Linked DNA regions of Coturnix japonica. The protein of the gene in region 2 interacts with the protein of the main gene of each other region in a biochemical or structural test. Links are inferred from orthologs where the notes say so. Each region holds a gene or a part of one and is shown on either strand. Other genes may lie near its edges. The genes, in order: SLC9A3R2, PRKCA and MGMT.

The links.
Region 1: the proteins of PRKCA (region 2) and SLC9A3R2 form a complex in vitro, tested with the Homo sapiens proteins (2 studies listed by BioGRID and IntAct, with this or other methods). The link is inferred for Coturnix japonica from reciprocal best matches to the Homo sapiens genes PRKCA and NHERF2.
Region 3: of the proteins of PRKCA (region 2) and MGMT, one has a biochemical effect on the other in vitro, tested with the Homo sapiens proteins (2 studies listed by BioGRID). The link is inferred for Coturnix japonica from reciprocal best matches to the Homo sapiens genes PRKCA and MGMT.

The regions. Positions count from the first base shown.
Region 1 is NC_029529.1:6,206,087-6,209,736, forward strand, and holds part of SLC9A3R2 (Na(+)/H(+) exchange regulatory cofactor NHE-RF2), read left to right. Parts: intron 1-3,217; coding exon 3,218-3,394; intron 3,395-3,650.
Region 2 is NC_029533.1:6,864,242-6,867,891, forward strand, and holds part of PRKCA (protein kinase C alpha type), read left to right. Parts: intron 1-682; coding exon 683-856; intron 857-1,689; coding exon 1,690-1,781; intron 1,782-3,099; coding exon 3,100-3,162; intron 3,163-3,425; coding exon 3,426-3,564; intron 3,565-3,650. UniProt on the Homo sapiens protein: Calcium-activated, phospholipid- and diacylglycerol (DAG)-dependent serine/threonine-protein kinase that is involved in positive and negative regulation of cell proliferation, apoptosis, differentiation, migration and adhesion, tumorigenesis, cardiac hypertrophy, angiogenesis, platelet function and inflammation, by directly phosphorylating targets such as RAF1, BCL2, CSPG4, TNNT2/CTNT, or activating signaling cascade involving MAPK1/3 (ERK1/2) and RAP1GAP.
Region 3 is NC_029521.1:30,303,684-30,307,333, forward strand, and holds part of MGMT (methylated-DNA--protein-cysteine methyltransferase), read left to right. Parts: intron 1-3,413; coding exon 3,414-3,571; intron 3,572-3,650. UniProt on the Homo sapiens protein: Involved in the cellular defense against the biological effects of O6-methylguanine (O6-MeG) and O4-methylthymine (O4-MeT) in DNA. Repairs the methylated nucleobase in DNA by stoichiometrically transferring the methyl group to a cysteine residue in the enzyme.

The DNA.
Region 1 (3,650 bases), on a different chromosome or scaffold from region 2:
TGCCTGCAAAAAGGAGAGGGTAAACACCATGGGGGCTGGCTTGAAAGAAAGTATGTGAGCAATGCAAATTAGGCAGGAGTGATCCTGCCTGTGTTTTCTCCAACTCCACTGAAGGAGAGGTGGAAAAGCTGGATGTGTCATGGGGAAATCTGCACTTGGAGGGTATCCAGCTCCTGTAGCAGTGGATGGTTTGACTGCATCAGATAAAAAGAGCTTGTGGTCATGAGGCTGGGGGCTTGTGCTAAGGCCCCCTGGCACTGAGGAGCTCCATCATTTTTGTCCCTTTCCAGGGGAGTGATACAAGTGTGCTCCATCCTCATTCTGGATCCATCATCCATGCTGGATCCAATGCTGTGTTTCTGGGATAACCCCTATAGTGTGGATTCTTAAGGGGTTTTAGCCTTTAGTGTTCACCTACAAAGTGTGGGTGGCTGGAGGGTGATGCTAAACCAGTATTCAATTCTGAGCATCCCGGCAGGGTGAGCCCCATTGCATGAAGACATGATGAGTTCTGGGAGTTCCGTGGGGGCAGATGGGCTTTGTTGCAGGGTGGGATGCTTCTCCCACAGCCCCCGGTCCAAACTTGGGGATGGTGGTGTTGGAAACCTCAGGTGTTGCAATGAGATCATGAGAACTGGCAACGTCTAAACAGATTTATTTATTTATTTAATTTTCCCCTTTTTAATTGGAAGTGTTTCATTGTTACTTAATGTCTTGTTTGTGCCTTTTTAATGCACGGCTTCCTTCTGGTATGGTGGAGTTGTGCCTGGAGCTGTGGCACTGCAGCTTTGTGTTGGTGCAGCTCTTATCTGCACAGACACATCTGTACCAGTGGGTGTGTGCACAGAGCAGCAATATAGGGCAAATGTGACATCCATGGCTTTTTAATCCCATGTATGAGATCAGTGGGTGCTGTAGCATCTGGATGCCCCCAAAGAAGATTGCTGATTGCGTGCGAAGAGAGAAATACAAGGTCATTTTTTGTTGGCTTTGCAGCGTGTGAGTGCAGCTATGGGAAGGAATGGAGTGTCTGTGGGTCTTTGAGGTCAGGTGGGATCTGGAGGAGTGTGGTTGGGGTGCCCCAAAGGCAGAACACCCCTGGGAGCTCAGGAAACTTCTTCCTAGCACATGACAGGGAAATGTTGGCACAGGTTGTGAAGTGAATGAATAGCAGAGCTGGCAGGAGGAATAGAGTGCATCGGTGCAGAGGGCTTCATCATGTGCTTGAGGCTGAGCAGAGGGTTTGCTCAGTCCCAGAGGAGTTTGTTGGAGCCCTATGTGTTCCAGAAGCTGAAGACAGCCGCTGCTGGGAGCACTGGGAGCAGTGGCAGCACTCAGACAGGTCTTTCTGGGGAGCTCTGGAGCTGATGCTGGGGCTGAAACGAGAACGATTTTGAATCATCTCAGTGGTGGATCTTGGCTTCAGGATGTGGTGGTGGGAGCAGAGCATACCCACACAGGGCACAGTGCTGGGTACCCCACAAAGCTGCTGCAGAAGTCCTCTCCCAAGCAGTTTCTGTGCAGTTTATTTTAGGGATGATGCTGGTAGAGCCTTAAGTCCTGCTTGTTGGTACTGTGCTCATTTGGTGACTGGTGCTTTGGAACCACTGCTGGAGCCGTGAATGCTTAAAACTGGAGTAAAATGGCCCATAAAGGTTATTTCTAAGCCCCACTAGGTGATTCTGGATGTGTTCCTTTCTGCAGCCCCTGTTCCCAGCACTTACAGCCCTGTGCATCCCTTGAGGTCGCACCGAGCCCGCTCCAGCATTGAATCATTTCCTGTTTTCCTCGGCTGTCGCAGAGCTGGAAGTGTTTGCAGATGGGGTGAACCCACAGCGCGGGGGCATGGGAACGCAGGGCTGAGCCTGCAGTGAGCCCCGAGCACTGCACACTGTGTGTGCTGTATGGGGGCTTTTCCTCTGGGGAAAATGAGCATGGAGGGGTCACTGCTGAGTGGATTTATAGGGGTAAAGGGAGCCCTGTGTGTTTCTTGGGTAGAAGTACCCAAAGGAGATCCCCATCCACTTCTACCAGTTGCCTTTAGCTGGGGGATGGGGATTCATTACCAGCATTTTTTTTTGTTTTGGTTGGGAACATTGGGGAAATTCTCACATGTTTTTATTATTTTAAATGTAAGGTTGTAAGAGATCGTCCTACTGATAGATAGATACCTGAGGTCTGATAGCAGGTGGGAGCAGTGTTGCTTTCAATGCAGATTCAAAACTCAGCTGCAGGAAATGTTTTCCTTAAACCATAGACCCCCTAAAAAAGCCCCGAAGGCACTTCTGTTTCTTAGCAGCTCCTGCCCAGGACATGGCTGTGCCACTGTGCCTGGTGCACGAGAACAGCAGTGGGATAAAACCTGCTGTGTGCTGCTTCCTGTTAGCCCCAAGGAACCATAAAACATTTTGCACGTGATAGAGGTGAAGCACCAAAGCCCTCACGTGCTCTGCTAATATTTGCAGCGAGCTCAGCCTGGACGTGCTGTGGGCACCTTGGGCAGCACCATGTGCAGGGTTGATGCTTCCTCTCTGCAAAGACTTCTGTAGGGCTTTCCCACTCTGCCCAGATCAATGTTTCCATAGGCTCACTGCTAAGTGACTGCAGAGCAGCTGTGCCACATGGCTCCAGGTGGGCACACAGATGATCCCTCTCTGCCCTGTTGGCTCAGTACTCCCAGTTCTGCATGATCATTTTTGAGCTGGTTGCAGGACAGGGCTGCCCATCCCCTGGTGCCATCCCCAGAGTGGCCAAAGATGCAGCTCCAGATCTGGGCATCACCCAGCTTGCTCAGAACATCCCTGCAGGGAGGGATGAGTAGCAAGGTGAGGATGAAGCCTTGAGCCGTGTTGGAGTCACTGGGAGCCAGGCACGGTGCTAACATCAATCAGTGCTGGGAGTTAAGGTGGTGGTGGTGGGGGGGGGGGTGGGTGGGTCTGGGCTGCTGTTGGCTGAGGAAATGCATTTTTTGTTGTTGTTGTTTCAATTTCTCTGGAGTGGTTTTGGACAATCAGTTTTCTAAAATAAACTCAATGAGAGGAAATCCATTTGTTAACCTGTCCCCATTGAGCTGGAAGGAGGGGATGGTGTGCAGATATGTTGCTTCCTTCTCAACTTAATTCTGATTCAGAACAAAACCAAGCCGATAAATCAAACACAATATCTTATCCTCTCCCCCCGCGTAACCACCCCCCATCATCTTTCTTTTTTAAATCAGGATTTAAATGGACAGAAAGAGCTGTGTCCGCGCCTCTGCCACCTGAAGAAAGGTCCCAATGGTTATGGCTTCAACCTGCACAGTGAGAAGTCCCGCCCAGGGCAGTTCATCCGCTCGGTTGACCCTGACTCACCAGCATCCAGAGCAGGTCTGCGGCCCCAGGACCGCCTGGTGGAGGTAACAGCACATGCAGCATGGAGCTTTGGGGCTCTTTTGTTGCATTTTTGGGTCCTACCAACATGAATCCTCCTGGAAATGAGGAGCTGGAGTGCAGAAGGGATGTGATGCTCAGCTGGGAAGCGTGATGCTGAATCCAGGCCCAGTCCTGTGCCCTTTTCCATCAGATCCATCATACTGCTGGGCAGGAGTTTGGAGCCAGGGGAAACGCTTGGCAGAGAGATCTTAAAGCATAGGATTGTGAAAGATGGGGGGA
Region 2 (3,650 bases):
AATCAATCTCCTCCTAAGAGGCAAAATAGAGAGTTGAAAAGAAGTGTACTTTAAAAGGAGCGTTTTTAATGCAGAGTAGGGCGATTCCTTAGGGACTAGCAGGCTTCAGTCATGGTTGGGGACTGCTTTTTCAAGAGCAAATTAGAGAGAAAAGCCTCACACTATTGGTCAGGGTGTAAGAAACGAACTTTTAAATCCTCACTTTTAAGCAGTTCCAAGGAAATCAGCTCTCCCTTTCTGGCTTTGCTCCCTAGGTTACTCTGCCACTTCTGGAAGTCACCAACTTTGGTAGGGCTGAATATCTGGGAAGTATCACAGATAGTATATATGTTTGCAGTGTGTTAGTGGAAAGAAAGGACTGCTATTTTTCTGGCTAGTTTAACACCCATTTATATGGTGATGTGCCCTTTACTGAAGAAGTCCCCTGGGACTTAACATCTTATCAGCCCTGGGGCAATGTGTCTGCAATTCACATTGGGGTTTTGGCTCTGGCTTTGTCTGAAATGACTGATACAGCTCATTGCAGTGGGTGAGTAATGATGTTATTTTTGGTGTTTTGATCAAGTTGGTCTGTACCTATGAAAGGGCAAGCTGGATTGCCTCTATACAGCTCACTAGGCATGTGAGTCACCTTCTCCATTGGCAGGTAGGAAGATTTTCACTCCTGTTTCTTTTTGTGCAGGTGATGCTGGCGGACAGGAAGAATACAGAGGAGCTCTATGCAATCAAAATACTGAAAAAAGATGTGGTGATACAGGATGATGATGTTGAGTGCACGATGGTTGAAAAGCGAGTGCTAGCACTGCAGGATAAACCACCATTCCTAACACAGCTTCACTCTTGTTTCCAAACAGTTGTACGTGAGCTCTCTTCCTTGCAGCAGTGGTGTTTTTCATAATATGTGATGCTGAATTATGTCAGTTCAATAAACTTTATTATCATCCAATCGTAGTATATCACAGCATCTACACACAGGAAACAGTGAAGAATGAGATACCCAGGAACTTGGAAAAGGTCAATTTTAGTCCTCTGAAAAATGGTGGACAGACATATATTGCTTAAGTCTCATTTAAGGTCACTGTGGGAAAATACTACATAAATACTCAGATATGTTGTAGTCATGTTTCACTTAAGATACCTGGATGCGGGCTTTAAAATTCTTCACTTATCAAGATAAATCACCCTGCAAAATACTTTATTGCAGTCTTTCTTTATCTCGAATAAGGTGAGAAAGGAATTTAGTATCACTGGTGGAAATGCGAGATACTTTTGTAAACCCTGTGACATCTTTTCTTGTCTATTTTTAATTATCAGAAGTATATATATTGATGCATTTATCTAAATTTATTAGGAAGCATCAGAAATAGGCTGAAGACAAAGATTTTTAACCACATTTAATGCTTTTTGGACATTTATTTTTAGCAGACAAAACTATGTGTGAGTAATTATGGGAACAATGTAGGCAACGAATACATAAACGTGAGTCACTAACATTGGCAAAACTAGACAGCTCCCATCAGTCATTTACTCCTGCAGGCTTTACAGAACATGCCACTTCCATTTCCTGATAGATCAGTTTTGCCAGAATGTACAACCAGTCCCAATAACCTTAAATGCTTTATTCCTGATCAGTGCTTACCTGTTATTGTGCCCAATGTGTTTATGTGCATGTTTAATACTTTATCCTAGGACCGCCTGTATTTTGTTATGGAGTATGTGAATGGTGGGGATCTCATGTACCACATTCAGCAAGTAGGAAAATTTAAGGAGCCACAAGCAGTGTGAGTGTTCATTTTTATATATTTAAATCATGTAATGATCTTTTTACGCTGTAACAGAGTTAGATATCTCTTATCAGCCTATCCTTTAAGTCTGAATTAATATTATAGGGAAAGAGATATTATAGGGAAAGAAACACACTCGACATTGCAGTATGGTTTACAGAAGATATTTCAGTGTGCAGCTTATGAGAAGTTCTGTGATGCTGCATTTTATAGAAGTTTTATCTGTGAGAAGTCAGGAAATGATGAGGAGTTGTTTATGCACAAAGTCCCTTTCGGGTCATCGTACATCTGGTGTATCAGTGAGTAGCTGATAATGATATGTAGCATATTTCAAGATGAGCAGACAGAACATCAGTGCCATTTTAGTCGTGTTTATAACATCTCATCATCATTTATTAGTGTTTCATGAATCATTTACCAATGAAACTTTCAAATCAAGCGTAACCAATTCTGTTTAAGAAATCCACGGAAATAATTTCTTATTTAGATTTAAGTAATCAGGGCTTGGTTAAATGAAAGGCCTTCCAGATAGAAACCCTGAGATATAAAACAAAACGTCGGCAACTCCCTAAAGAAAAACACAGTGGTGTCAGAACATCTTTGGCTCCCAGCTCATGTACCATGCCCAACACCTGTTGAAAACGATAGAGCTTTATGACAACTTGTGGCTGTGGAGCATATTCCAGCACACGTCTGCAAACAGCTCTGGTTTCAGAGCTAACCTTTCATTTTCTTTATGCTAGTCTAAAAAATAGTCTTGTCTTTAGATAATCCTCTTCCCTATAATTTCTGCAGATCCACAGCAACCGGCATCAAACATCCATCAATACTGTATATTCTTTTACTATGTTCAACAATTCTATTTCATATTGCCATCATTTTAATTATGTAATTAATCCATTAAGAGCCTGTATAAAGGAATGCTCTTTCTGCAAATGATTTAATGCCATATGAATTGCAGTGTAAATTGAGCTGCATCCTGAACTCAGCATTGGTATGTGATTAGAGATAATGACCTGTGTCTGATTGGTGCAGTAGGAGTGCTGTGCTCCAGCTGCACCTTCTTCTCTCTGTTATAGAAACAAATTTTCAATTAAAAAATGAAAATCTGCCCTATTTTGTCATGAAATACTTGAAGTTAAATTTATCCATTGAAGTCAATTGGGAGTAAGGTGCCTGTTACATCCTCTGCCTATAATATATGTTTTTTATACTTTAATGTTATCACTATTTACCACGGGGCATTTCCAAAGTATTTTGTCAGGGGGAAATGATGAGGTAATAAGAAATCCTTGGGCTTTTTCTCTTCACACAGGTTCTATGCAGCTGAGATCTCAGTTGGGTTATTCTTCCTCCATAATAGAGGGATTGTTTATCGGTGAGTACAGTCTGTTGTAAGTAATTTTTGCACTATTTTTAAACCCCAAAATGGTCAATTTCTTTGACTAATCAGTGAATTCCTAGAAATTTTCTAGAAATAACCACAGAAGTGCCATTCTGGTGTTGTTTCACTGTAAACCAACCCCTCAGCCTCAGCTTTACATGAGCTTTTCTGTGCTCTACCCAGTTCAACTGAAAACTTGAACATGTAAATGAAAATGATCCTAAATGTTAACATTGAATTACTCTGATTCTTTACAGAGATCTGAAATTGGATAATGTGATGTTGGATTCAGAAGGACACATTAAGATTGCTGACTTTGGAATGTGCAAAGAACATATGTTAGATGGAGTAACAACCAGGACCTTCTGTGGCACCCCAGACTACATTGCACCAGAGGTAAATATTCACCATTTCAAGCATCTTACTTCTCAATTATCAGCTGTCAGAACATGCATTTCACACATGCTCATAGCTGTAGCTCT
Region 3 (3,650 bases), on a different chromosome or scaffold from region 2:
TGCTGAGTTTCTCCTCTTTTGCTAAAGCTGTGTTTTGCTTTATTTCTTTGCAAACTCCTAAGGCATGGAAGGGAATGGCTGGGACAGGAACCTCACAGGGCAGATCTCAGCTGCGTGAAAACAACCAACTTCAAAAAGCAACAATTACTCAGTGACCAGGTAAAAATAAACCAGGAATGGGGCCATAGTGAGACTCCAGGTAGCACCCAGCAGCAGCCAATCATGATTCATGGGTGGAATGGGGTGTTGAGAAGGAAACCGAATGCTGAGCAGAGGGAGAACACTTTCCCGTAACCTCTTTAGCCTTGGTTTTTGAAATGTACATGTGGTTTAGTCGGACCAAAGTGTGGCTTTGAAGCCTCAGAAAAGGCTTTTAGAGGCAGCTGGTGTTTTAAGTTGAATTTTTAATGACGAGGCAGTTTGCAGAAGGAGTTCTGCCATGCAACTTCAGGAGGAGGAGGAGGAGCAGGAGGGGAGTAGGGCTGCTAGGAGGTGCCTTTGCATTAATGATGTTCTGTCTTTTTCTTTGTTAGTGCTGTCCAGTCTCAGGAGTGGTTGTTAGTGTTTCTAACCAAGCAAAATAAGATAAAGTGTTTTCACACTTCTGCCACAGAGAACTTCTCAGCATGTATGTTGGTGAATCAACTTTGTATCCTACAGGACAGGCAATACTTGGACACCATACTTGCATACTTGGAGAGGAGAGCTGCTCCAGCCCTCTGAGCATCTTAGCACCCACCTCTGGACCCACTTCATGTCCTTCCTGTGCTGGGGGCCCCAGGCCTGGAAGCAGCACTGCAGATGGGGCATCACAAGAGCTTTGGTTTTCATGACTTGTGGCAGTAAGCAGAAATCAGAGGTGTGGAGATGGCAAAATGATGGGATAATGGCAGTGATGGGGGCTGATGGCTCCTGCTTGAAGCAGGGCATGGGCAGGCCTTGCAGGCTGCAGTGCTGCAGGCAAGCAGGCACAGCTCGTGGGCTGCTGCTGCAGAGCCATGAGGGGATGTATTCCTTTGCTTTTACAGCAGTATTATAGCCCAAATCATTTCCAGGCTCCCGAGTATGTGAAGCAAGATGATGTGAAAACCATAAGGTTGCTGTAGTGCTGAGTGCTTTCTATGCTCTTCTGGATAAATGGAGCAGAAAAGTCTCCCAACTTCTCTTGGAGATTTCAGAGGCATTATTATATTCTGTAGTTATGATATTGTCGTAGCTCTAACAATCCACAGTAAAACTGAGCCCTATTCTGCTGAGCATCGTGCGTGTGCGGAATCACTGATGATCCTTGGTGCTGGGAGCTTGGCTTGAGGTCTGTGTCATGCACATATTCATCTGGGAATGTTTATACACAGATTGTCCAGGCTGGATGTGGCTCTGGGCAGCCTGGGCTGCTGGTTGGTGACCCTGCACACAGCAGGGGGTTGGAGCTGGATGAGCACTGTGGGCCTTTGCAGCCCAGGCTGTTCTATGGTTCTGTGATTCTCACACCTGTGTTTTTGTTTGTTTGTTTTCCTAGAAAAGAGATTACTAAGAAGCAAAGAAACATAAAGTAGAGATCGGTTTCATAAAGCAAATTGATAATGGAAGGGGATGGAGGACTGCACTTAATTTCAAGCAAACTAGATCCAAAGCTGGTTCTTCCTTTCCCTTTTTCCTCCACTCCAAGCCATCAACTTGTCATATTCTTCTACTGCTGGAGAATTTTAATTGTCCGCCTCCGTGTCCCCCTTCTTCTCTGCCACTTTCTAATCAGTAATTACGTGGCCTTCAGTGGTTAACAATTAATCAGAAAACGAATTGGGGCTGGGGGAAAATTGCAGGGCCGTTTGATCACACAGCAGACAAGCGAGAGTTCTGCTTCCGAGAGTAACCCCGGGACAGCTCCTGCCTGCACATCATTTGTGCTATCCGGAGGCAGGGCCGGGTGGCTGCCTGATTACACGGCTGTCCTGGTGTGCTCGGCTCCGTCGGCTTTTGTGGATGAAGCATCTGAAGGCATTGGGTCTTTTTGTAAAGGTGCCTTGTGGCAAAAGCAGGCCTGGTGTCTTTTATGCCATTACTGGTACACGATGCAGTTCATTTTCTCAGGCTTTCTGCTAGGAGGTAACTGAGAAAGGATTTCCTCTCCATTGTGATACATCTCGAGCATAGCAGTGAGTTGATTTTACATTTTCCCCACAACTCTATGGCAGAATTGCTGTGGTTTTCTCTTGCTGTCCCTCATGTATTCTGCTATTTCTGCAGTTTTCTCTCATTTCTACCCCTTTGTGACACATCCAACCAATTGCAGCACACTGTTTTGTTGAGTTTCACCAGCAGAACTTGTTTGGGGCTCCAGATGCATTTCCAGCTGGGGGAAAAGAAAAGCTGCAGTATCAGGATGCATCAGGATGGTGTAGCTGAGGTTTGTCAGATCCAGGTACAAGGCTGCTGGCAGGGCTTGCTGGTCTGGCAGCTGCTCTTGGTGTTGTCTCCATATTGCTCTCCAGGTGGTTTCATGCTCCTGGGCTGTTTGGTTACAGATGTGCTGAATACAGTCCATGTGGTTCTGAGTGGTCTCATAGAGAGGCAGGAGAGCACCGTGATCTCCTCCCTGCCACTGCTGTGCCTAACCCAGGGCTTACAGCTCAGAACAGGGCTGGAATGTCTGCAGATGTGGTGCTCATGTTCTCCATGCTCTCATACAGGCATTGCACTTCTGTAGAAAAAGAAGAAAAAAGCAGCTGGAGAAAAAGGACATTTTCATTTGCGGGTGCTTTCTGTTCGTTTGCTTTGCTCTTCAGCATCCTGAAAGCATGAGCTGCCATTGAAAATCAAATGAGTTCTCAATTGCTTCCTTCCAATTCAATAAGAGGAGGAAAGCAGAAACCTGCCAACGTCGCTGGAAGGAGTGGCGGAAGAGGAAAGCGCTGGCTCTGCAGAAAGCTGCTTCCTCTTCTTCCTTCCCCAGGAGGGCTCTGGAGGCTGTGCTGTGCCCGTGGGTGCATGGAGGAACCTCTCTCCAACCCCACGGAGACCCAGGATTTGTCTTCCACCAGGCTGGGGTGGTTTCCTTCTATTGCTCCCTGAGATTTCCCAGTTAAGTGTGGTCTTTCCTTCTCACCCATTCTTTATTTTCTTACAGCAGGTCTGAACAACTTCACATCACCATGGCAGATCAAGAGGTGATGTGGTAACGATGGTAATGGGAGGACGGTTGGACTAGATGATCTTGTAGGTTCTTTCCAACCTTGTGACTCTATGATTCTGTGCTGTGGGTGAAGTTGTGTTACTGTTCTGATGACTCTCCTTGCTTTCAACAGAGAAAAAGAAAGCTTTGGAGTCTTTGCCTCGGGATCAGATGTTTTTGAGATCATTAAGAGTATGAATGTTTGCTTTCGTCATTGACAGCCTGACATCTCTGCCCACAGGACGGAGGCTCCGGTGTGCTGTGAGCTGCGTGGCAATGTGACCTCCATGCCGGAGCCGCTGCAGCAGTGTGCAGCCTGGCTGAGCGCCTACTTCTGTGAGCCCAGCAGGACAAAGCAGCTGCCCCTGCCACCCTTCCACCACCCCATGCTGCTGCAAGGTCAGTGCCTGGCTCGTGGTAGCTGCAGAATCACAGAGGGTTCGTTTGGGAACACACACACAGCCTATGGGCTGGCTGC